Rattus norvegicus: one gene and its partner. The protein of the gene in region 1 binds, or shares a complex with, the protein of each later gene. Links are inferred from orthologs where the notes say so. Each region holds a gene or a part of one and is shown in the gene's direction. Other genes may lie near its edges.

Evidence for each region. Proteins that work in one complex are often made in the same cells at the same time.
Region 2: Srrm2 (region 1) and Rbm48 share a complex: the UniProt entries of both Homo sapiens proteins name them as parts of the minor spliceosome. The link is inferred for Rattus norvegicus from reciprocal best matches to the Homo sapiens genes SRRM2 and RBM48.

Annotation. Positions count from the first base shown.
Region 1 is NC_086028.1:13,315,644-13,327,110, forward strand, and holds the start of Srrm2 (serine/arginine repetitive matrix protein 2), read left to right. Parts: upstream 1-4,415; 5' UTR 4,416-4,717; exon of another isoform or gene 4,718-4,730; intron 4,731-6,338; 5' UTR 6,339-6,460; intron 6,461-10,921; exon of another isoform or gene 10,922-11,467. UniProt on the Homo sapiens protein: Required for pre-mRNA splicing as component of the spliceosome. As a component of the minor spliceosome, involved in the splicing of U12-type introns in pre-mRNAs.
Region 2 is NC_086022.1:31,513,955-31,524,648, forward strand, and holds the end of Rbm48 (RNA-binding protein 48), read left to right. Parts: coding exon 1-83; intron 84-567; coding exon 568-758; intron 759-2,763; coding exon 2,764-2,909; intron 2,910-3,678; coding exon 3,679-4,259; intron 4,260-9,370; coding exon 9,371-9,457; 3' UTR 9,458-9,870; coding exon of another isoform or gene 9,871-9,948; 3' UTR 9,949-10,193; downstream 10,194-10,694. Other genes in the region: 1700109H08Rikl (calaxin-like), read right to left, coding at 9,871-9,948. UniProt on the Homo sapiens protein: As a component of the minor spliceosome, involved in the splicing of U12-type introns in pre-mRNAs.

The DNA of each region.
Region 1 (11,467 bases):
AGCCAGAACGCAAACGTACATAAAATAAAAATAAGTAATAAATTGTTTAAAAGTAAAAGCATGTGTATAGCCCAAAGCAAGTGGAATCTCAGATTGGTAAGCTAGTCCTCATTCCTGTGTACTTCACAACTGTGAGATTACAGGTGTATAATACACAGAAATATTAGAGCCATCTTCCCTCGGCCCCTTTAGACCATTACTTTTTTTTTGAGATAGGGTCTCTCTATTATGTAGCCCTAGCTGTCCTGGAACTCTCAAAGTACACCAGCCTCAAATTCACAGAGCTCTGCCTGCTTCTGCTTCCTAAACACTGGTGTTAGAGGACCACGGCACCGCACCTGACAAACTCTTTATTATTGAGGAATTCAAAGAGATCTAGTCACATGACGTTAACATTTGTCATATAGAGTCTTAAATGGAGACATTAAAAATTTATTCATTAAAAATAGTAGGGCTAGGGGCTGGAGAGAGGGCTCAGCAGCCCTGACTGCGGGGTTGGGGATTTAGCTCAGTGGTAGAGTGCTAAGGCCCTGGGTTCGGTCCCCAGCTCTGAAAAAAAAAAAGAAAAAGAAAAAAGAAAAAAAAAAAAAAAGAGCACTGACTGCTTACTCAGAGGTCCTGAGTTCAATTCCCAGCAACCACATGGTGGCTCACAACCATCTGTAATGGAATCTGATGTCCTTTTCTGGTGTGTAGGAAGAGAGTGACAGTGTACTCACATACATAAAATAAATAAATCTTAACAAAACAAAAACAAAAAACAAACAAACAAAAAAAGTGGCCCAGGTAGAACTTGGCAGTCATATCTCAGGTTATTGGCAGGTAAGTAGACAAAATAGCATGGGGGGTTGATGTCTTCCCAGCCCTAGTGCTGTAAAGGCTTATTATAAACATAAAGGTTGTGTGTCTTTTATCTGGGAATTAAATGACACAAGGCAGGGTAGAAATCCCCAATTGAGAGTAATTATTACCAACAACACTGTTCACTCCAGAAGATTCCCCCTCAGAGGCCAGAACTTAATTATATCCACTTCAGTGTCCACAGCAAGGCACACTGTGCAGCACCATATTGCTCTTGGCTATTTCTCTCTCTGGCTATGCCTGCCTTGGGCTCCCAGCTGCTTAGAGCAACACAGGCAGCTGGATGAATCAGGACTCCAAGGGCGGGGCAAGCATTCTACTACTGGTTTTGTTATCTTTACATTTTTTTCTTTGTTGTTCTAATAGGATCTCTCTGATCCACCTATACTGGCCTTGGACTTGTGATCTTCCGGTTACAACTCCCAAGTTGCTAGGGTTATACACCCCTGAGTTCTTACCGACACACACACAGGAAAGGATTTGGGGCCTTCTGTTCTGACTGGAGACACAACAAGGAAAAACCCTCCCAACCCTGACAGTCAGGGGAGTGTGGAGTCTTCTGGACAAAACATTACCATATGTCATCAGTGTCCAGTACAAGAGGATTCTAACCTTGCCCAGGAGCTAAAGCCATAGAAAGTTTCAATACCCTTCAGGCTGGGCTCAGGGGAGGTGGGGATTTGCTATGGAGATCAATTGAAGCCATGGGTCAACTGAGCCCGCCTGGACTGAATGCCATGGTAACATCCCTCCCTGATCCCTCCTGAACACAGCAGTTCCTCGAAACCAAGAAAAGCCTACACATCACTAATATACCTTTAGTTTGTCTTCTTGAGATAGGGTCTCTACCCTCCCAGGTGTATGGTTACCATTGTTCGGCGCTGGCTTACTCACCATTCTACCGCTGTGAACATACACACAGCTGAGACAACTCTCATAGGAAGCCTGTAACTGGGGGCTGGTCTACAGTTTCAGAGGGTTAGCCCATTAGCATCATGGCAGGGAGCATGGCCGCACGACTGGTGTTAGAGTAAGTAGAGATGAGAGCTACAGACTGATCCATAGACAGAGAGAGAGAGAGAGAGAGACAGAGACAGAGACAGAGATTGGGCCCCGTATGGGCTTTTGAAACCTCAAAGCCCACTCCCAGTAACACACTTCCTTTGATAAGCTTATAACTCCTTATCCTTCTAATCATTTCAAATAGTTCCACCCCCTGGTAAACAGGCATTCAAATATATGAATTCTATTCTCATTCAAACCATCACAAACACCATGGGGGGGGGGAGCGAGCTTAACACAAGATTTATGTGTTGTAGGCAAGATCTCTATTTAAAAATGTTGCTTTTAGTTCTTTAGAGATAGGGTCTCATGTTGCCCAGGCTGGTCTGAAAATCTTGTACCAGAGGCTGATCTTGAACTCCCGATTCTATTGTTTCACGTACTGAGCGTACCTTTCACGTCCTGAGAGTACACACTTTCGACCACCTGTTAAACACCACCTATTGGCCTGCAACTCTCTAGGTTATCCACCATGGCCTGGAACTTTCCAAGCTCCTAGCTTAGCTTCCTGAGCTTACAACATGAGATTACAACCACTACTGGCTTTAGTGTTTTTGTTTGTTTGGTTAGTTGGTTGGGTTTTTTGTTTGTTTTGTTTTTTTCTTTTTAGAGACAGGGTTTCACTCTGTGGCCTAGCTATTCTGGAACTCACTCTGTAGGCCATGTGGTGGGAAGAGTGACCCTAGTTCTCAAAATGTGTCCTCTATTCTGTACACATCACACCCAGGCCTCGATATTCAGGAATACACACACACACACACACTCCATGGTCTTCAACCCTAATTTATTTGTGTGTGTGGGTTTTTTTAAGATTTATTTATTTAGGGGCTGGAGAGATGGCTCAGTGGTTAAGAGCACTGTCTGCTCTTCCAGTCCTAAGTTCAATTCCCAGCAACCACATGGTGGCTCATAACCATCTATAATCAGATCTGGTGCCCTCTTCTGGCCTGCAGGAATACATGCAGGCAGAAAGCTGTATGATGTATACATAAATAAATGTTAAAAAAAAGATTTATTTATTTATTATATGTAAGTACACTGTAGCTGTCTTCAGACACACCAGAAGAGGGCATCAGATCTCATTACAGATGGTTGTGAGCCACCATGTGGTTGCTGGGAATTGAACTCAGTACTTCTGGAAGAGCAGTCAGTGCTTTTAACCACTGAGCCATCTCTCTATGCCTATTTGTGTTTTTTTTTTAATGTTAACTTGTACAAAGAGAGGTAAATAAGTGTAAAAGAAATAAATAAAAGCAGTGAATTAAAAACTCACATTTTTGTTTGAATTGAATAGCACAAGACTGTATTCCCAGTCATTCAGGAGGCTGGGACAAGAGAATTACAAGTTCATGGTCAAACAGAAGACATCTAGTGATACACTATGTCAAAATAAAAGGTTAAAAGAAAAGGCTAGACATGATGGTGTGAATGAAAATAAGTATCAGATTCCTCCTAGATATGGTTGAGGAGAATGTTTTTATTGTAGATATGAGGGGGAGAATGGCTAGAGGCATCTGGAAAGATCCAGACTGAATCTGGCCATGAGGGGAGAGACAGAGGGACAGAGACCAGGAGAGGGAGAAGAACCAAGAAGCCAAAAGAATGGAAACCAAGAGAGTTCCTGGGCTGGGCTATATAGGAATGAGAAGATGGGGAACATAAGGGGATCTCAGGGGCTGGAGGCTTTAGGATACAGAGTGGCGAGGAATGCTCAGAGAAGCCAGGACTCTAACAGGTGCTAGTTTTGCTGAGGGGCTTGACGACCCTATTAGCTTTGATAGATTAGTAGCCACCTCAGCTCTTTGTTTCTCCTGTAATCCCAGCGTTTAGCAGGTTAAGAGGATGGTAAAGCCAGCTTCCACTTACTTAGCAAGTTGGAGGCCAGCCTGGGCTGCCTGAAATTCTGTGTCCAAAACCAAAATCAACCAAAAAAAAAAAAAAAAAAAAAAAAAAACCCAACACATCACAGTGGTAATGTATTAACACCCTTAGCTTCATGAGACCCTGTCTAAAAACGAAATCCCAAAAGTAAAAGTAATAAAGAAGTAATATTAACGACATGTTCGTGTGGAAAAATCAAGGCATCAGTATTTTATCCCACCTCCAACCCCACCCCATTTTTACTTCTATTTCCTCCTCTGCCTCATGGCCTGTCACAGTGTCACTCTAGGATGGTGGCTCACTCCTGTAATCCTAGCACTTGGGAGGCAAAGACTGGAGGAGCGTGAGGCCAGTCTGGATTTCTAGCAAGCACCAGGGTAGCCTGAACAGTTTCAAAAAAATAAAACAAAAAACAAAAAAACCAAGCGACTGTGAGGGACTCCGGAGCCCGCATGCTCCGGCTCTCATGGCAGCTGGAGCAGTTGTGCCTTTGTTCTGAGCGCCCGGGTCCGCTGTTTGAGAGTCTAGGGCAACCCTGCTCCAGCCGGTTCCCCAGTCCCTGAGTCCTCCTTAGGGCGACAAGGAGGCGGCTGCGGGGGTCCTGGGCTTCCGCTAAGCGTTGGAGGAGGAGGAGGAGGAGCAGCGGCAGCAGCGGTGGCTCGCCACACTGTTCTCAGCTGGAATCCATTAGGCCTGGAGGATTTTCGAGAAGAGGAGGCTTGGATATCCTGGAGATAGACCCTGGGAGGCAGCGTCTCCCTTTACTAATCCCGGGAGTGCAAAGTACCTCTGGGTTGTCGTTCTGTCAGTCAGCTACCTGGAAGCTACCTGGAACAGGAATCCGGCATTTTCACATCCTGTTGTTGCAATGCCACCAGTGTGAGTCCACTGAGGAAGAGCAGGACAAAACGAGGTACTTGGAATGGGCTTATTTCTGGTGGGCAGAAAGGGATGACAGAGTTAGTCACCAGGGCTCAAGAGAGTGTCAGAGTGGCACTGTGTGTCCTTCACTTGTAGTGCTGAGACCGCCCCCCAATCCCTGCCCTCCACCCCACCCCTCAGGATGCACAGGACCCATAGACCAGTGCTCTGAAAAACAGCCTGCTCCCAGTCGAGGGCCCAGCCCGACCTGCACTAATCTGGTGACATCCTCTAGGAGGAGCAAGAACAAAGCCAGAGGTTATCAGTTCCTGCAGTGCAGAACACTGTTCTCTGAGCACAATGGCCTTTGTCGTGTTTTTGTCGATATGTATATGTGTGTGTGTGTGTGTGTGTGTGTGTGTGTGTGTGTGTGTGTGTGTATGTGTGTGCGCGCATGTGCAGATGCCCACAGAGGCCAGAGGAGCTGGATCCCTCCTGGGCTAATATTACAGGAAGTTGTTACTGGGAACCAAATTCTGGTCCTCTGAAAGAACAGTGTGTGCATGCCTCCCTCCCGCCCCTAGACGTGTGGTTTTTGAGACTGGGTCTCATAATGTAACATTCACTGGCTTAGAACTGTGCAGACCAGGCTGACCTTAAACTCATAGAGATCCACCTGCCTCTGCCTCCCAAGTGCTGGGACTAAAGGCCTGCGCCACCACTGCCTGGCACTGTTGTCATCTTGATCAGAGGGGCTATGACAGTTCCCCAGAAACCCCCAAGGTAAGATCTGAGCCTTTCCTTCCTGTCAGCTGTTTTTGATTATTGTGTTATTGTGTGCGTGTGTCAGCCTTTTGAAGACAGGGTTTCACTCTGCGCCCCCCCCCCCCCCCCCCCCGGCTGTTCTAGAACTCACTCTGCAGACCAGGCTGGCCTCGAAGATCTGCCTGCCTCTGCCTCCCGAGTGCAGGGATTAAAGGTGTGCACCACTACCACCCTGTTGATTTTGTTGTTGTTACTTTTTTTAAAAAAAAATTATTATTTTTTATTTATATGAATACACTGTAGCTGTCTTTAGACACACTAGAAGAGGCCATTGGATCCCATTACAGATGGTTGTGAGCCACCATGTGGTTGCTGGGATTTGAACTCAGGACCTCTGGAAGAGCAGTCAGTGCTCTTAACCACTGAGCCATCTCTCCAGCCCTGTTGTTACTGTTTGAGACTGGGTTTCTCTATGTACCCCTGACTGTACTGGAACTTGCTCTGTAGACCAGGCTGGCCTCCAACTCACAGAGATCTGCCTGCCTCTGTGTCTCGATAGCTGGGATTAAGGGATTGCACTAACATCACCAGGGATGTGCCAGCTGTTTTATTACTCTGCCCCAGCTGCGTGTGGTCTCCGTGTCTCAGGAGGTAGCATGTGTATAGGTGGAAGGTTAACTGACGTGGGGAACCTCATCTAAGCTGCTGGAAAGTCATCATCAAGGTTGGGGTGAGATATTTGTGTAGTGAAGCTGTTTCAGGGTCACCCATACTCCCATAAGTAGCCTCTCTTTCATACTCTGTAGATAAGCTCAACAAACTAACTGGTTCAAATCACCCGATTTTGGTACTTTAGCCTGTCATTGGTGCCTGTTCCGGGCAAGTTAACTTTGTTTTCGTCTCCCCAGGAAAGTTCCTGAAGCACTTCCTGTGTCTGACCATTGTCCCTCCAACACGCTGTAGTGTGACTTGGGTCTGTAATCAAGCGAACGGAAGGGAGGGCAGAAGCCACCAGGCAGACTGTAGACAGGTACGTGCTACTATGTCTTCCTCCGTCTCTTGTTTTGTTCTCAGGCATTACTGAGACCTGGTATGTGTGTGCGCGTGCACACACGTGAGCACCTGGGGAGACGCCGGAGGTCAACCTTGGGTATCATTCCTTCGGTGCCACCCGCTTTGTATGTATGTGTGTTTTAAATTTATGTGTATTTATTTTGTGTGGATAAGCATGTGGAGGTCAGAGGACAGTTTGTGGGACTCAGTCCTTCCCTTCCTATGAGGGTCCCTGAAACAGAACTCAGGCCACCATGTTGGTTAGCAGGTGTCTAACCCACTGAGCCATATTGCCTGCCCTCCTTGTCTTCTGAGACAGGTCTCCCAGTGGGATCTGAAGCTTGCTGATTAGGCTTGGCTGGCTGGTTGTTAAGTCCTAGGGGCCCACAGTCTTGACCTTCCAACTGTTGAAGCTACAAGCGGGCACCATCATGTCTGGCTTTTGTTTTTACCTGGATTTTGAAGCTTGAATTTGGTCTTCCTTCTTGCACAGCAAGCACTTTACTGGCTGAGCTGTTTCCCCAGCCTCCCCTTTTCCTTTTAGTAAAGGCATTAGTCACGGATTTAAGGTCTGACCTAAATTCATGACGTCTTCTTAAGACCCCTTAATTATATACGTTTATATACATATATATTTTTTTTTCTTAATTATATCTGCAAAACCTGTTATCTGGGGCCAGACTACATGTCTGGGTGGACATACGTTTTGAGCAAGACTGCTCAAACTGCTTTACTGCATGACGCAACTTTTCAAATGAAAACTGAAAGCACATTTGGGAGGCTGTGGGGAGGCTGAAAGGAGAGCAGTGACTCGGGGCCAGGGTGGGTGGTGGCAGCTGAGAACCACAGAGAGACAGGATGAGGGATAGCTGCCAGTCTTCTGGTCTGTAATGTTATAACCCAGCCAAACAGAACTGACAGGAGCGTATTTGGGGAGAAGGTTATGTTTTACGTTTAAAACATTTTATTGTCATTATTGTGTTTTGCATGGTGTGGTGTGGTGTGGTGTGTGTGTGTGTGTGTGTGTGTGTTACAATGGGTATATGGAGGTCAGAGGACAATCTGGGAGTTGGCTCTCTCCATCCACCATGGGGTCCTAAGGATCAAACTCAGATGTTCAGGCTTAGAAACAAAGCAGGATCCCACCAGTCCCTCCTTTTTCTTTGTAGAAAGACAAGAGGAAAATAGCTGAGAGGTCCTGGGATGTAGGTCAGTAGTAGAGCACAGGAATACACAAGGCCTGGGCTCAGTCTCTGGCATTCTTCTCACAAGTGAGGACAAAGGACTTGAATAGATTTCCTTCAAAGGTAAGAAAATCTCCAGCACGTCTGATTTCGTTAGTTCTTGGAGACGGCTAGTCAAAGCTATCGTGGTAGTTGGCTACCGACTATGGCAATATGGAGATGGCTCAGCAGCTTACGATGCTCTTCAAGGTTTCCTCCATCACCTACATTTGGTTCTCAGAGTTAGGATCCAGGGCCTTCTTCTGGCCTCACATTTGTGGTAAACAGACATACATGTAGGCAAAACACTCATAATACAAGTACATCTTATATCAAAACATTATAGTAGATCATTGGCTGGGCAGGTGGCTCAGAAGAGTGCTCAAGTGCCCAGTGTACACATGGCCCTGATGTTAGCCTGCGATGAGGGGGCGAGTGCAGATTATATCATTTGCACCTACTGGAATGGCTACTATAAAAACACCAAAATATAAAGATCATCATGTGAGACAACAGTTCTCCTCTTAGATTTAAGAAATGAAAAACGGGCTGGAGAGATGGCTCAGCGGTTAAGAGCACTGACTGCTCTCCCAGAGGTCCTGAGTTCAATTCCCAGCAACCACATGGTGGCTCACAATCATCTGTAATGGGATCTGATGCCCTCTTCTGGTGCGTCTGAGGACAGCTACAGTGTACTCATATACATAAAATAAATAAGTCTTGCTAACATACCACTTATTTAGCGTACTAACAAAAATTCACAAGTATTACAACTCCCTCTGTTGGAGAGGCTGTGGACAAGCAGCCCATTCATATTCTGATAGTGGAAACTGAAAGGAACCTTGTATCACTCATAAATGCTTATGCTTGCTTACCCGCCTCCTTCAAGATGGTCATTCCAGGGTTGGCTTCCGTTCATTCGTTTTTTTTTTTTCCTCCGTGCTGTAGACCAAATCCATGCATATTAGATGAGTTCTACCACTGAGCCTCGGCTTCCAGCCCTGCGTCGTTGCTTGGAAACACTTGGGAGTCATTTCTCTCTCACACATGCTCTTAGTATACTGCCTACCATGACGCGATGCAGCCAATGACTGGGGGCCTCATCAGAATCCGCACAAGGCCACCTGCAGCTTCAGCCTCTAAAGCTGGGATCTGAACAATTGTAAGGTTGCCTGCAGTGTTTCATAGCCCTAAGGAATAGGAACTAATAGACCTCTGTGATGTGATTTTGTTTTTTGGGTTTCTTTTTCTTGTTTGTTTATGTGAAGTGCCCAATGTGAAATGTGTTTAGAAGGCACATCTGAATAATTATTCATCAGTACTGAGAGGCAGACATGGAGGATGCTAAGTATACTTAGATCATGAGGTCACAGTGACACCTCCAGTTCTAACTAACATTGCCAGGCTTGCTCCATCCCTCTACCTGTGCATTTGTGACTCCCTTCCCCAAATATAAGACGCTGGAGAGATGGCTCAGAGGATAAGAGCCCTGGCTACTCTTTCAGGGGTCTGGAGTTCAATTCCCAGCAAACACATTGTGACTCATAACCATCTATAATGAGATCTGCTGTCCCCCCCCCACCCCTACCCCCCCACCCCCCTACCCCCGCAGCCAAGGACCGAACCCAGGACCTTGCCCTTGACTAAGCTAAATCCCCAACCCCATCTGGTGCCCTCTTCTGGCCTGCAGATATACATGCAGGCAGAAAGCCGTATACATAATAAACCAATCTTTTAAAAAAAGAAACCTAGTTTCCATCTTCCGGATACACTTCTACTTTGCTAGAAATATAAAAAGTGGCTTCAGGATTGTACTCAATTCTGGCATGGGCAAGAGGAAATGCTTATGCAAGAGTTCCATACTTGCTTTTGTTTTTTGGTTTTTTTTTAATCTTAAGGCTGAGGACATACCCTGTATATACAGTATTTACAATTTGCTCCATAGGAATAGAGGTGTGTACTAGCATGCCAAACTACACACAGATATTTAAATAGATTAATGCCTTCCCACATCCTCTGTTCTTTTCTTGGAAGCTGAGCCTCCAGGCAGCAGTGTGCTGATTCTGATGAGGGTCCTCCATCATTGGCTGAGTCACATGGTGATAGGCTACTGCTATAGGCTACTGCTTAGTATAGGCTATACTAAGAACATGTGTGAGAGGGAGAAATGACCTCTAAAAAAATGGAGTCTAGAGAGGCTGGACTCCCTTGATCCCTTCTGAGGATCCACCCGCAGTTGACTTACAAATCTTCTTCTAGGGCAGGTGAGATGAGCGTTTAAAAACATTTGCCGGGCTGGAGAGATGGCTCAGTGGTTAAGAGCACTGACTGCTCTTCCAGAGGTCCTGAGTTCAAATCCCAACACCCACATGGTGACTCACAGCCATTTTTTTTTTTTTTTTGGTTCTTTTTTTCGGAGCTGGGGACCGAACCCAGGGCCTTGTGCTTCCTAGGCAAGCGCTCTGCCACTGAGCCAAATCCCCAACCCCGACTCACAGCCATTTGTAATGGGATCTGATGCCCTGTTCTGGTGTGTCTGAAGACAGCTATATATATAATAAATAATACTTATATATAATAAATAAATAAATAAATAAATAAATCTTTTTAAAAAATTTGCCATTCAGCCTGATGACCTGGATTTCATCCCCAGGAGTCACATGGTTAAAGCTGCCCTCTGACCTCCACATGCATATGTAATCACACACATTTTAAAGTAGGTGTGAAAAAAAAACAAAACGGGTTGGGGATTTAGCTCAGCAGTAGAGCACTTGCCTAGCAAGCGCAAGGCCCCGGGTTCAGTCCCTAGCTCCGAAAAAAAAAAAAAAGGAAAAAAATTAAAACAAAACAAAACAAAACAAAATAGGAAGCTGGTACTGAGCCTGACACCTGAGTTTGATCTCTCAGACCCATTTGGTGAAGAAGAGAAATAACTGCAAATCCATGGTACTCATGAGCCTTTACATGTAAAGATACACACACACTAAAGAAAAGTAGAAAACTATTCTTAAGCTGCTTTTGTCTTTCTCCTGAGACAGGGGTTTCCTATGTAATACAGGCTGGATTCAAACCTTCTGTGTGACCCAGGCTATGCCAGAGTTAGACCCTCCTCTAACTTAGGGTCCTGAGTGCTGGGGTTATCAGTGTGGGGTTATCCCTGGGCTATACCTTTTACTTTTCTTCCTTTCTTTTTAAAACAATATCTTATTCTGTAGTCCAAGCCTATCTGGGACTCACAATGCAGACACACCTGGCTTTGAACTCATGGCACTGCAACCATCCCGCGCCCTGCTTCCTAGGTGGCGAGATTACTGCCGTAAGCCTACATTTGTCTACGCCTCAACCTTTGAAGATCCTGCCACATCTGAATACCTCCGGTCTGGGCTCCAATCCATGAGTCTTTGGGGGAACTCATTTAAACTACATGCAAACCAAAGCTTAAGGGCAAACTAGAGACCTTACAGCCAAGAACCTTGGTTGGTAGTGAATGCTTACGCCTCATCTCGGTACTTGGGAGGCTGAGGCAGGAGGATCACTGGCTGTATAGTGAGTTCCAGACAAGCCTAGACTACAAAATGAGACCCTGTTCAAAACAAAAGCCCAGGGGGAGAAAGGAGGAGAACTGGTTGATCACTTGTGACTAAGTGATTTAGAGTTCATGTTAGCAGTCATGAGACTGACGGGAAGCACGCGATTAAACCGATGTGGTAGCATCCTTTCCTGTATCTTCTTGCCTAAAGTGTGTTGGGTGAACATAACCT
Region 2 (10,694 bases), on another chromosome or scaffold:
GCATATTCGACCACCACGTCCAGACAGCTGTGTGTGACTCGCGGGCCAAATACAGGGAGGGCCGACGCCCTCGCGCGGTCAAGGTAGAGTGACTTGGGTTCCTTCTCTCTCCTCGGCAGGAGCATTAACTTCCTGTCAGCACTAGCTCTCCATGGCCTGCCTCCATAAAGGCACGGCAGGGATGCTGTCAAGTCCATCTCTCAGTGGAGGGGGCACGAGGAACAAAGTTTATCGCTGTTGTCGGTTTACTGCTTACTCCACGATTTTTAGCTTTGCATCCTATAATACAAGGACAAGGTCTCACAGGACAAGCCCTGTTAAGTGACTGTTTACATTAGCTTCTCTGGGGTCAACTTTGGGAAAAGACGTCTGTTTAGTCAGATACCCTTATGTGGAGTGTGTTATTCTTTAGGCAGAAAGAGTGACAGTTTTGTGTGTATGTTTTGCAGACCATATTGAGCAGAGTATTTCTTGTTTTCAAAGCTCCATTTAAAAGAGGGATGGGAAGACAGATTTGCCATAGGCTTGTTTGAAGAGTACGTTTAACGGGCTCTCCCCCGACTTTAGGTATATACCATCAATTTGGAGTCTCAGTACTTACTAATACAAGGAGTTCCTGCAGTGGGAGCCATGAAGGAATTAGTTGAGAGATTTGCTCTCTATGGTGCGATTGAACAGTATAATGCTCTAGATGAATACCCAGCAGAAGATTTTACAGAAGTTTATCTCATTAAATTTGTGAAATTACAAAGTGCAAGGTATGTACAAGTTAAGCAGAACTCGCGTCTTCTATTCCTGTTGCCGTCATTTCGGCCTCAGGATTTCCCAAACAGACCCAAATCACATGAGCACTTCTCACTCTCAGTCTTCCTGATTTGGGGGTTGGGGAGCAGGGTTTATTTGAATAGCTTTAGCTGTGCTGGAATTAGTTCGATAGACCAGGCTGGCCTTGAACTCAAAGAACCCTTTGTCTCTGCCTCCCGAGTGTTGGGTCCAAAGGTGTGCAACACCCCATCTCGCCTTCTGGTTTAGTTTTTACCAGGCCTCACATATGCAGTCAGTCACTCTAACAGTGAATGATATCCCAGCTCTTCCTTCTGATGTTCGAAAGGCTGACTTTACAACACTTTTCCCATCCTGTGCTTGATGGTTTCTGAACCTGGAGTGTGGTAGATTTGGGAGATGAGGAATTACATTTGAAGCACATTTCCAGTCCTATGGCTTCCTGACTTTGGAGAATTTTATTCCTGCCAAGCACATTTTTTTTTCTTTTCCTAAAATCCACAGGGCAAAAAGGTCTACTTCTTGAGGTTCACTGAGGAAGGATGAAATGAAACAATTTATGTAAAAGGATTAGACTGGTACCTCCTATTAAGAGTAAATATTAGAGCCAGGCAGTGGTGGCACAGGCCTTTAATCCTAGCACCTGGGAGGCAGAGGCAGGTAGATTGAGGTCGAGGCCAGCCTTGTCTACAGAGCTAATTGCAGGACAGCCAGAGCTACCCAGAGAAACTGTGTCTCCAAAAAAACAAACAAACAAACAAAAAAAACCAAAAAACAAAAACAAAAAGTAAATATTAGTAATGACAGTTCTTATTAGTATGGTTCTATGTTAATCAACCTTGTATTCCAATAAGACTGAAGTCAACAATGCTTTATTTTATGTTAACCCTTTGGGTGGGGGAGTGTGTGACTGTAGGTGGGTGCACGCCTGCGTGTGTAAAACTTGCTATGTAGGCCAGCTGACTAGAACTCAACTTCCTCCTGAATCTGCCTCCCCATCCCCACCAGGTTTAAAGACATGTACCACTACAGTGTACTCTACCCTATGTTTTGAGACGAGACCCTTATTGAAACTAGAACTCATGGCTAGATTGGTTGGCCATCAGGCTCCAGTGGTCTTACCTTCTCTATCTCGCCAGCACAGGGATTATAGGCACAGTACGGTGCCTAGTTTTTATGTGCACGCTAGGGATCTGAGCCTAGCTACTCAAGCTTAAACAAGTACTTTTTCAACTGAGCAGTCTCCCTAGCTCATGTTAGCCATTTTTTCTTTTTAATCATTAACATGATCTAAACCATATCCTTCTCTGGCTTTTGCCATTTATAAATGTTTTGGTGGAAAAGGGCTTCAAATCCTCTGGCACTGGAGTTACAGGTGGTTGTAAGCTATCCAAAATGGGTCTGGGATTTGAATCTACTCTTCCCAAAATCAGCAAGTGCTCTTATCACCCACCTAATTATCCCTCCAGCCCCTGTGTTTCTTTTGTTCGCTACTCCTAGTCCACCACAAAATCACTTGACTTCAAAAGGCCATGTGCCTTTTCTTACCAAGTGGGCAACTCTTCGTGGTATAGAGAGCAGATTCTCTAGCGCCTTGTATCTCTACAGACCCTGATACAGTTGGCTTTGGAGTCAGCCATCTGAGTTGAATCCTAGTTTTATAGATGAATGTATGTGACCCAGAATTTCCCGGTGCCTTGGTTTTACCATGAGATGGTTATGAGATGTCAATTTAAGTGGCACACTTGTGGCTTTGCATGGAGTAATCGCTCAATAAACATTAATCATTATCTGTAGATACAGAAGTACTTAATTACTTACAGTGCTTGGTTCAGCATAGGTGTTCAGCATTTCTTTTTTAAACATTATTATTTCTCTTATTTTTATGTGTATGTGGCGTGGCTATTTGTTAATTGTTTTTGAACCATGTAACTTATGCATTTCTTTAGCATTCTCTTTAAGTTATGCATTTCTTTTTAGGATAGCTAAGAAAAAGATGGATGAACAGAGTTTCTTTGGAGGGTTACTTCATGTGTGCTATGCTCCAGAATTTGAGACAGTTGAAGAAACTAGAAAAAAATTAGAAGAAAGAAAGGCTTATATTTCAAGAGTTACTAAAAACCAAGGTATGGAAATATGGAAAGTCTGTGTTAACAACTCCTGTGTGTCAGGCACTGCTAGGTATGTGTGTCATTGTGGAATTCCTACTCAGTCACGTTCTTCGGTGACTTGAACTGATGGGGTCTGTGCCCCACTGTGGAGTCTGGGCCGGGAAGGGAGCAATGTTGATTCATGGAGATTGCCTCTGGCATGGGAGAGTTAAATAGTCGTAAATGGTATTCAGTAGTAAATAGGGTAAAAGGATGGCAAGGTAAGCCAGGCTACGTTTAAACTTAGGCAGATAAATTGCCACCATACATTTAAAGAGCTGTAAGTCCTACAGAGTAACCAGAGTTCCAAGGTTTTAGTGAGAGAGATTAGGAAAGTAGACAAGAAGCAAATTATGAAGCCTTGTGTCCCAGGCTAAGTGGCCCAGGGTTTAAACATGAAGGCAGCAAGAAGCAATTGTGGTTTACAGACTGGTTCTACATGTTGCTCATTATGGGAAACTAACAATTTTTGATCAGCAGCAAGTTTTATTATTTTTCAAGTGGCTCCAGAGAAAAGTAAGACATTCTAGATAGATGAGTAGGTGACACTTGGCAGTATCCCATGGAATCCTTTCAAAAAGCCTTTAAGCCTTATCACTGTATTCTCTGCTCTAGAGGTACCATTTTAGGAGTAGAGCTTCTTAGCATTTTAAGGTTTGTTTTTAGAATTTTAAGATTTTGGATGTTCAAAATGATTAATGATTTGTTTCCCTTTCCCTCAACTTGTAAAACTATGACTGTAAAGACTATTATGTGACCAAGAAGAAACCAGTTCCAGAGCAAAAAGGAACAAAAGATTCTAGACAAGACTTCCATGCACATATGCCTGGATTTTGTACACCTGCTTTAAACACATCTCCCAAGAATCCTTCAGAGAACTCAAGTCCTTGTCTTCCTTACTCTTGTGAATTCCCTTTATGCTATTTTGCCTCCAAAAGCCCATGTTCACCTGGGGAGCACACGGACAAAGCGTCAGACTCCTGCAATAGTGCTAGGAACCGTGGTGAACTGCAGAAGCACCGTGACCACAGTGCCTTTCCCCCAAAACTACAGATGAACACTTACAAAACTTCCGTCCCTTGCTCTAGTGTGCAAGAGGCCATTGCTACTTCACAGGCAGTTGGCAGATTTATGCCTAGGACAACACAGCTGCAGGAGAGGAAAAGACGGCGAGACTGTGATCGTGAACTTGGAACTTTTCTTGAAACAAACATAAGCAGTAACGAGGTTTTGATTGGACCTAAGTTACCAGGTATTCCCACAGTAGATCTGCAGGATGACTCCTTGAATACAACGGCAAACTTAATTCGGAGTAAACTTAAAGAGGTGAGGTTTTTTGTTTTTTTGTTTTTTTTGTTTTTTTTGTTTTTAATTAATTGTGAGACCAACAACTTGATAGGAAATTTGGAGGAACTAAAACTTTGTAATTATTTGGTTTTGTTATCTTCTAAAATATCAAATTTGATCAATATCTATCTTTTTTTTTTTTAAGTCATTTCATTTTATGTATGTGAGTATACTGTCACTCTCTTCAGACACACAGGCAGGAAGAGGGAGGACATCGGATCCCACTCAGATGGTTGAGAGCCACCATGTGGTTGCTGGGAACTGAACTCAAGCCCTCTGGAAGAGCAGTCAGTGCTCTTGACCACTGAGCCATCTCTCCAGCTCCCTTTACAGTCATCCTTGACTTAACAATGAACAGATACATTTTATGTCAGTATAGGTACAAAATGCTAAATGTCCAGTCAATCAGACTATGACAGCTGATTCCGGATACTGTCTTTCCTCCCTTCCCTATTTAAAGCCAGCTCCCTAGGTAGTAATAGCATAAGCAAAAATTGACAGTTATAATTGATTATTTCTCTTAAAATTCAGCTAACTGCAGATTACATCAGAGTCAAATATTCATAAAAGGAATGATTTTGATCAATCACTTAATTTTGTTGGGAACCGAACTCAGGGACTTGTGTGTTGGGCAAATGCTCCATCACTGCCGCATCCCCAGCCCACAAAGTGAGATTATTAAAAACTGAGTCTGTGCCTGCCCACACTCAGTTGTGTGTGTCAAGATCAAAGCTCTGAATAGTTAGAGATCAGATTGTCTAACCCCCGTTCCCGTTATTTACTTTATTTTCCATTCTGTAAACACAAAAGAAAGTTAACAGTTGCAGGAGCTTGTGAAAGCTTTTTGTGGAGTGGGATGGGCCTCAGAATCATTTCTGGAAGGCCGTAAGCATTTTCTTAGTTAACTCCCTGGTCAGCCCAGCTCACACGGGGGCTCACACGGGGGCTCACACGGGGCTCACGTGGCGCCCTCTTGTTCTGCAGTGTGATTGGAGAAGTGATTGGAGAGGAGGTGCTTCTCTGTCTTGTTTTGGTTTAGAGTTTTGTTTCCACCTAGTTGAAATGGTAAAGTGTATGAATGTGGTTTTATTTTTAAGTCTCCCTAAGTTTTTCGATATATGCCAGCACCTTACTTCCTTCTGGTGCACTACACTGAGGCACACAGACTCGTGGCTGTCTCAGTCAGGACCAACTGCATTTAAGTGTAAACTCTACATCCAGAGAAATAACAGGTCAACAAAAACATACTTCATATACTTAACCACAACTTCTAGTATTTTCCCATCTCAAATCAAGGTGGTCTTATCCTGCCTTTGCCCTACTATTAAGTTATTTTTGGTAATGGAATAACAACAATGTATTCAGAAGCCATTGCAGCTGAGATCTCTGTTAGCCAGCCTGGTCCACCTAGTAAGTTCCAGGTCAGGTCAGGCCAGTCAAAGTTACACCTGTTCAAAAATAAACCAAACAACCTGTAAAACCAGGATTTTATCTGTATCCTGCTGTTTCTGGGCTAAGGTGAAATCCCAATGTTGTTTCAATTTGCATTTGTTTGAGGTGAGATAGCATCCTAATCTGTTCTTTTGCATTTCCCTGTTGCTAATGATGTTGGACATTTTCAAACTTGTGTTGGCCATATGTGTTTCTTCCTTTGAGATCTGTTCAGCTTGTTAGCCTGCTTATTGACCGGATCACTTGTCTTTAGTGTGTAACTTTCAGCAGTTCTTTGTAGATGCTCGACATGAAGGCCTCATTTGTGTCATTGGGCACAGACCCCCCATTGTGCAGGCTCTTTCACTCACGTTCCTGACTGTGCTGCTGTGCAGAAGCTCCTCAGTTCCATGTGATCCCATTCGTCAGTTTGCTCATCATAATCTGTTCCTTTACAATCCATTTCAAAGATCTTTGCCTAGTCTCTTGAAGTGTTCTTCCTGTTTTCCTCTGGTAGTCTGAGAGCTTGTTACAGTCCTCAGTACATTTTGAGTGTGTGTGTTTGTGTGTGTGTGGTGTGTGGTGTGTGTGTGTGTGTGTGTGTGTGTGGTGTGTGTGTGTTTGTGTGTGTGTGTGTGTGTGTGTGTGTGTGTGTGTGTGTTCTCCATGTGTTTTTGATACCCTTGTCAAAAAATGTTGTAGCTGTGGCTATGTGGGATTACTTCTGGCCTCTGTTCTATCCCCTCTGCATTCTTGTTTTTATCCAGTACTAGGCTGCTTTTGTGTCTTAGTTAGGGTTTCTAACGCCATAACCAAAAAGCAAGTTGGGGAAAAGGTTTATTTGGCTTATTTTTATTGCTGTTTATTATTGAAGGAAGTCAGGATAGGAAATCAAGCAGAGCAGGAAGCTGGAAGCAGGAGCTGACGCAGAGGCCATGGAGGGGTGCTGCTTATGTGCTCGGCCTACTTTCTTAGACAACCCAGGACCACTGGCCCAGGAATGTACCACCCACGATGGGCTGGACCCTCCACCATCCATCACTAATTAAGAGTGCCCTACAGCCAGATCATAGGGAAACATTGCGTCAGTTATGACAGACTGGGCAGCACATCTATCTTATCACTGTGGCCCTGTCATCTGACCTAAGATACTGTTCCATCTCTAGCTTTGTCCTCACTGCTTGCTATGGCTTTAACTCATTATGAAACATTCCTACTTCCATAAGACGTTTAGGGCAGTTGTTTTGTACCTTTATAGAGGATTTCTTTGATTCTTCGATAAGGATTGTGTTTGTTCTTCAGATCACATCATCTTCACAATATTAATTCTGCCAGGGCCAGAGAGATAGTTCACCAGGTAAAGATACTATCCACAAACCTGACCACCCTGAGTTCAATCCTCACTCTACATGTTTCCTCTGGCCTTCATATACATGCTGTGAGCACATATATATTCCCTTGTGCACAAATAAATGAATAAATGTAGTTTTCAAAGTTAATTCTGCCAGGGGTGGTGGCTCATGTCTTTAATCCTAGCCCTTGGGAGGCAGAGGCAGGCAGAGCTCTGAATTTCAGGCCATTCTGGTTTATAGAGCTAGTTCTAGGCTACACAGAGAAACCCTAGAAACTGTATCTCAAAAAAACTTGAGAGAGAGAGAGAGAGAGAGAGAGAGAGAGAGAGAGAGAGAGAGAGAGAGAGAATATGCCTGGGGCTGGCGAGATGGCTCAGTGTAGAGATGTTTGCTCCCTAGCCTGACCACCTGTGCTCTGTTCTAGCACCTACTACAACAAGTAGTTCTCTCACATCCCTGTGTGCACTGTGCTGTAAGCGAGATGGGGCAGCATAACAAGTATAAATTGTTAAAATCCCACAATAATCCAGAAACATGAGAGGTTATGCCATGTTCTATTTCTTCTTCAGTGTCTTTTCTCGCTAAGAGTTTGACTATAGAGGTCTTTGGCCTTCTGGTTAAATTTATTCCTGGGCTTAAGTGTGTGGTATATATGTGTATATATGTTCATGTATGTGTGCACATGGTCTCCTCTGTTACTTTTTTTTTTTTTTTGAAGCAGGTTCTCTCCTTTAACCTGGAGCTCACTGCTCGGCTGGACTGCCTGCCAGCAGGCTCCTGGGACCCTTTTGTGTCTGTCACCAAGGTTGGAGGTTTAGGTGTGCTCTACTGCACCTGGCCATTTCCCAGATGCTGGAGAGGAGAACTCTACTGCACCTGGCCATGTCCCAGGTGCTGGAGATGAGAGCTCTACTGCACCTGACCGTTTCCCAGGTGCTGGAGGTCAGAGCTCAAGGCTGCATCTGCATGGCAAGCACCTCACCAGCAGAGCCTCCCTCCCGAACTATTTAGTTTTGTTGTTTATTGTGAATGGAATTTTTTTTCTGATTTTTTTTTCTTGGCAAGTTTATTGCTTTTACAGAAAAGCTGCTGTTTTTGTTTGTTGAGTTTATATATTTTTATGACAGTGCTTATCATAGTTTAGCATTTTCTGGTCAGATCTTTAGAGTCTTTTAAGTGTAGAGTTGTGTAGTCTGAATAGAGATCACATGATGTCTCCCTTTCCTCTGTGTTATTTTTCTTGTCTCGTTGCTCTGGCATAGACTCACAGTATCATAGTGAATAAGAGTAGAAGAGGGGACACTTTTGTCTCTATCCCTGATATTAAAGGAAATTCTCTGTCTCCTCTAATTGTCTACTGACATAAGCATATAATTCCTGTTCTTGAGGCTCAGTGTATTATTTATTGATTTACCTATGTGGAATCTTCCTGGAAATCTTGGAATGGAACTGACTTATTCATAGAATGAGTCAGGTAATATTCCTTCCTTACTCTTCTGCTTTTTAACCTAGTTTGAGGAGCGTTGGTATTAGCCTTTCTTTAAGCATTAGTGGGATTCAGCAGTGAATCCATTGGACTTTTACTTTTCCAGGGACTTTTATTGATGCTTCACTCATAGATATATTTAAATTGGTTGTATCAAGTTAATTTTAATAGGTGGTATTGTTACCCCTGTTGCCTAACCTTTTTTGTCAAGTTAAGAAAGCTTTATTTTCTGTCAGACAGGGCTGCCTCCCTAGTGTGGGGATTGAAAGAACAGCAGTGAACATAGAGGAAAGTACAATTTACATAGCTTAAGGTCGGCAAGACTAGAGTACGTGGGACTCCGTAGAACATCTAGGGGGGGAGGTGCATAGTGCGTAGTGTGTCCCATTCCAGAAGTGTGCCAAGGGGTAGTCAGGTCCAGTTCACAGAAAGCAGGCTGAGTCATGTAACAAGACGGCTTCTAATCCTAATGGGCCAGGCTTGTCCATCAATTATGCCTAGGAATTGATCCATTTCTTTTAGACTTTCCAGAATTTTGAAATATGTTTTCAAAAGAATTCCCAAATGATTCTCTTAATTTTACGAGAATCTGTTTTAACCTTCCTGGGTTTTTTGGCTGGCTGGCTGGTTGGTTTGGGGTATTTGCTCCCCTACCTTCTCTCCCTCTCTCAGTTTGTTAATATTACATTTGAAAGGAACCAAGTGCTTATTTGGTTGGTTCTATGTGTTGTCCTTTTAATCTAAATTTTACTCATTTCTGCCCCATTTTTCCTGACTGTTGCTGCTGACTGCTTAATGATCCTTTCTTCTTTTTAAACCAGGTGACTTCATCTGTGCCGAAGCCTCCGGAGGACAATGGTGAAGATGTGTGTACAAGTCACCCACGAAAACAAAGAAGAAGAATCTAGCTGGCCAGTGGGGAGTTAGTCTTGCCTTTTCTTTCTTTTTTCTTTTGAATCAGGGTCTCCCTGGAGAGCCCTGGCTGGTCTGGAACTCGCTATGCAGACCAGGCCGGCCTTGGGCCTCTGCCCCTGAGTGCTGGGATTAAAGGGTGTGTGCCACCACACCCAACTAAACTGGTATTTTCTGGAGAGATTCTCTTTTATGTCCGACCCATTCTAATTCTTTCAGGCATCTTACTACTGCTGTTGTGAAGTGTTTCCTCTTAAACTGTCTGCAGATATTCCGTCTCTCTCAGTTCTGCACTCAGGGTGGCAGAGACTGTTCTCTTCACTCCACAGTAGTTATGACAATATGCAAATTGACTGAAACGGACATGCAAATGTGATGCAAATAAAGGAGATCAGGGTCTCACTTTAATTCAAGTGTTGAGCGGGTTGTGCTCAAAACTAGCAGGGGAGTTGTTTTTGAATACCAGAGCTTCGAAATGAAAGCAGGTCTGTAAAGAGAAAGTGCCAATAAAACGTTAAAACAAAGTTGATAATAGAAACATATATAATGTAATTTCTAAGACCAATTTATATCAACTATGGTGATGTTTAAAACTAATGAAGTTTGGAAATTCTAGATTTCTACACTATCAGCATATCTGTGTTTTTTCTTCTGTCAGCAGACCACTGTGTAATTTTGTTAGGCTGTTTCCATTTTCTTTTCTAGGAAAAAATAAACTGAGAAGACACGTGCTACACTGTGCTGTGTGCGTGTCATTTCTCGTCCTAAAGGGCCTCCTTCAGTGGGTTGTTTCTGACTGTGTGGAGTAAGGTTTGACTCGGTTGCTATGGTGCACTGATCAGCTTTGCCAGGCTTCTCAGTGCTGGAACCTGCCAACCAGGGGTTACGTTCTGCATGTATGAGAAGTAAGTGCACAGATTGCCGTGCTGAAATCTCAGGTAAAAGACACCTGAACAGCCGACCACACACGGAGCTGGGCAAAACAAATGTCATGTGGATCAGGCCACTCACATAATAAAGTTCTGGGTGTGTGTCTCTATACCTCAGGACCCTGATCTGTGAGTGTGAGGAGTGGCCACCAATATGCACCATAGTGGCCATGAGAGGAAAGAAGTAAGCATGTGCCACGTCAAGCTGGGAAGGAGGAGGAGGAAGAGGTGGAGGCGGCGGCAGCATCTTCAGGAGTCCCCAGCAGTGGAGGTACAGAGGCCACACTGCAGTGTAACCATGGGC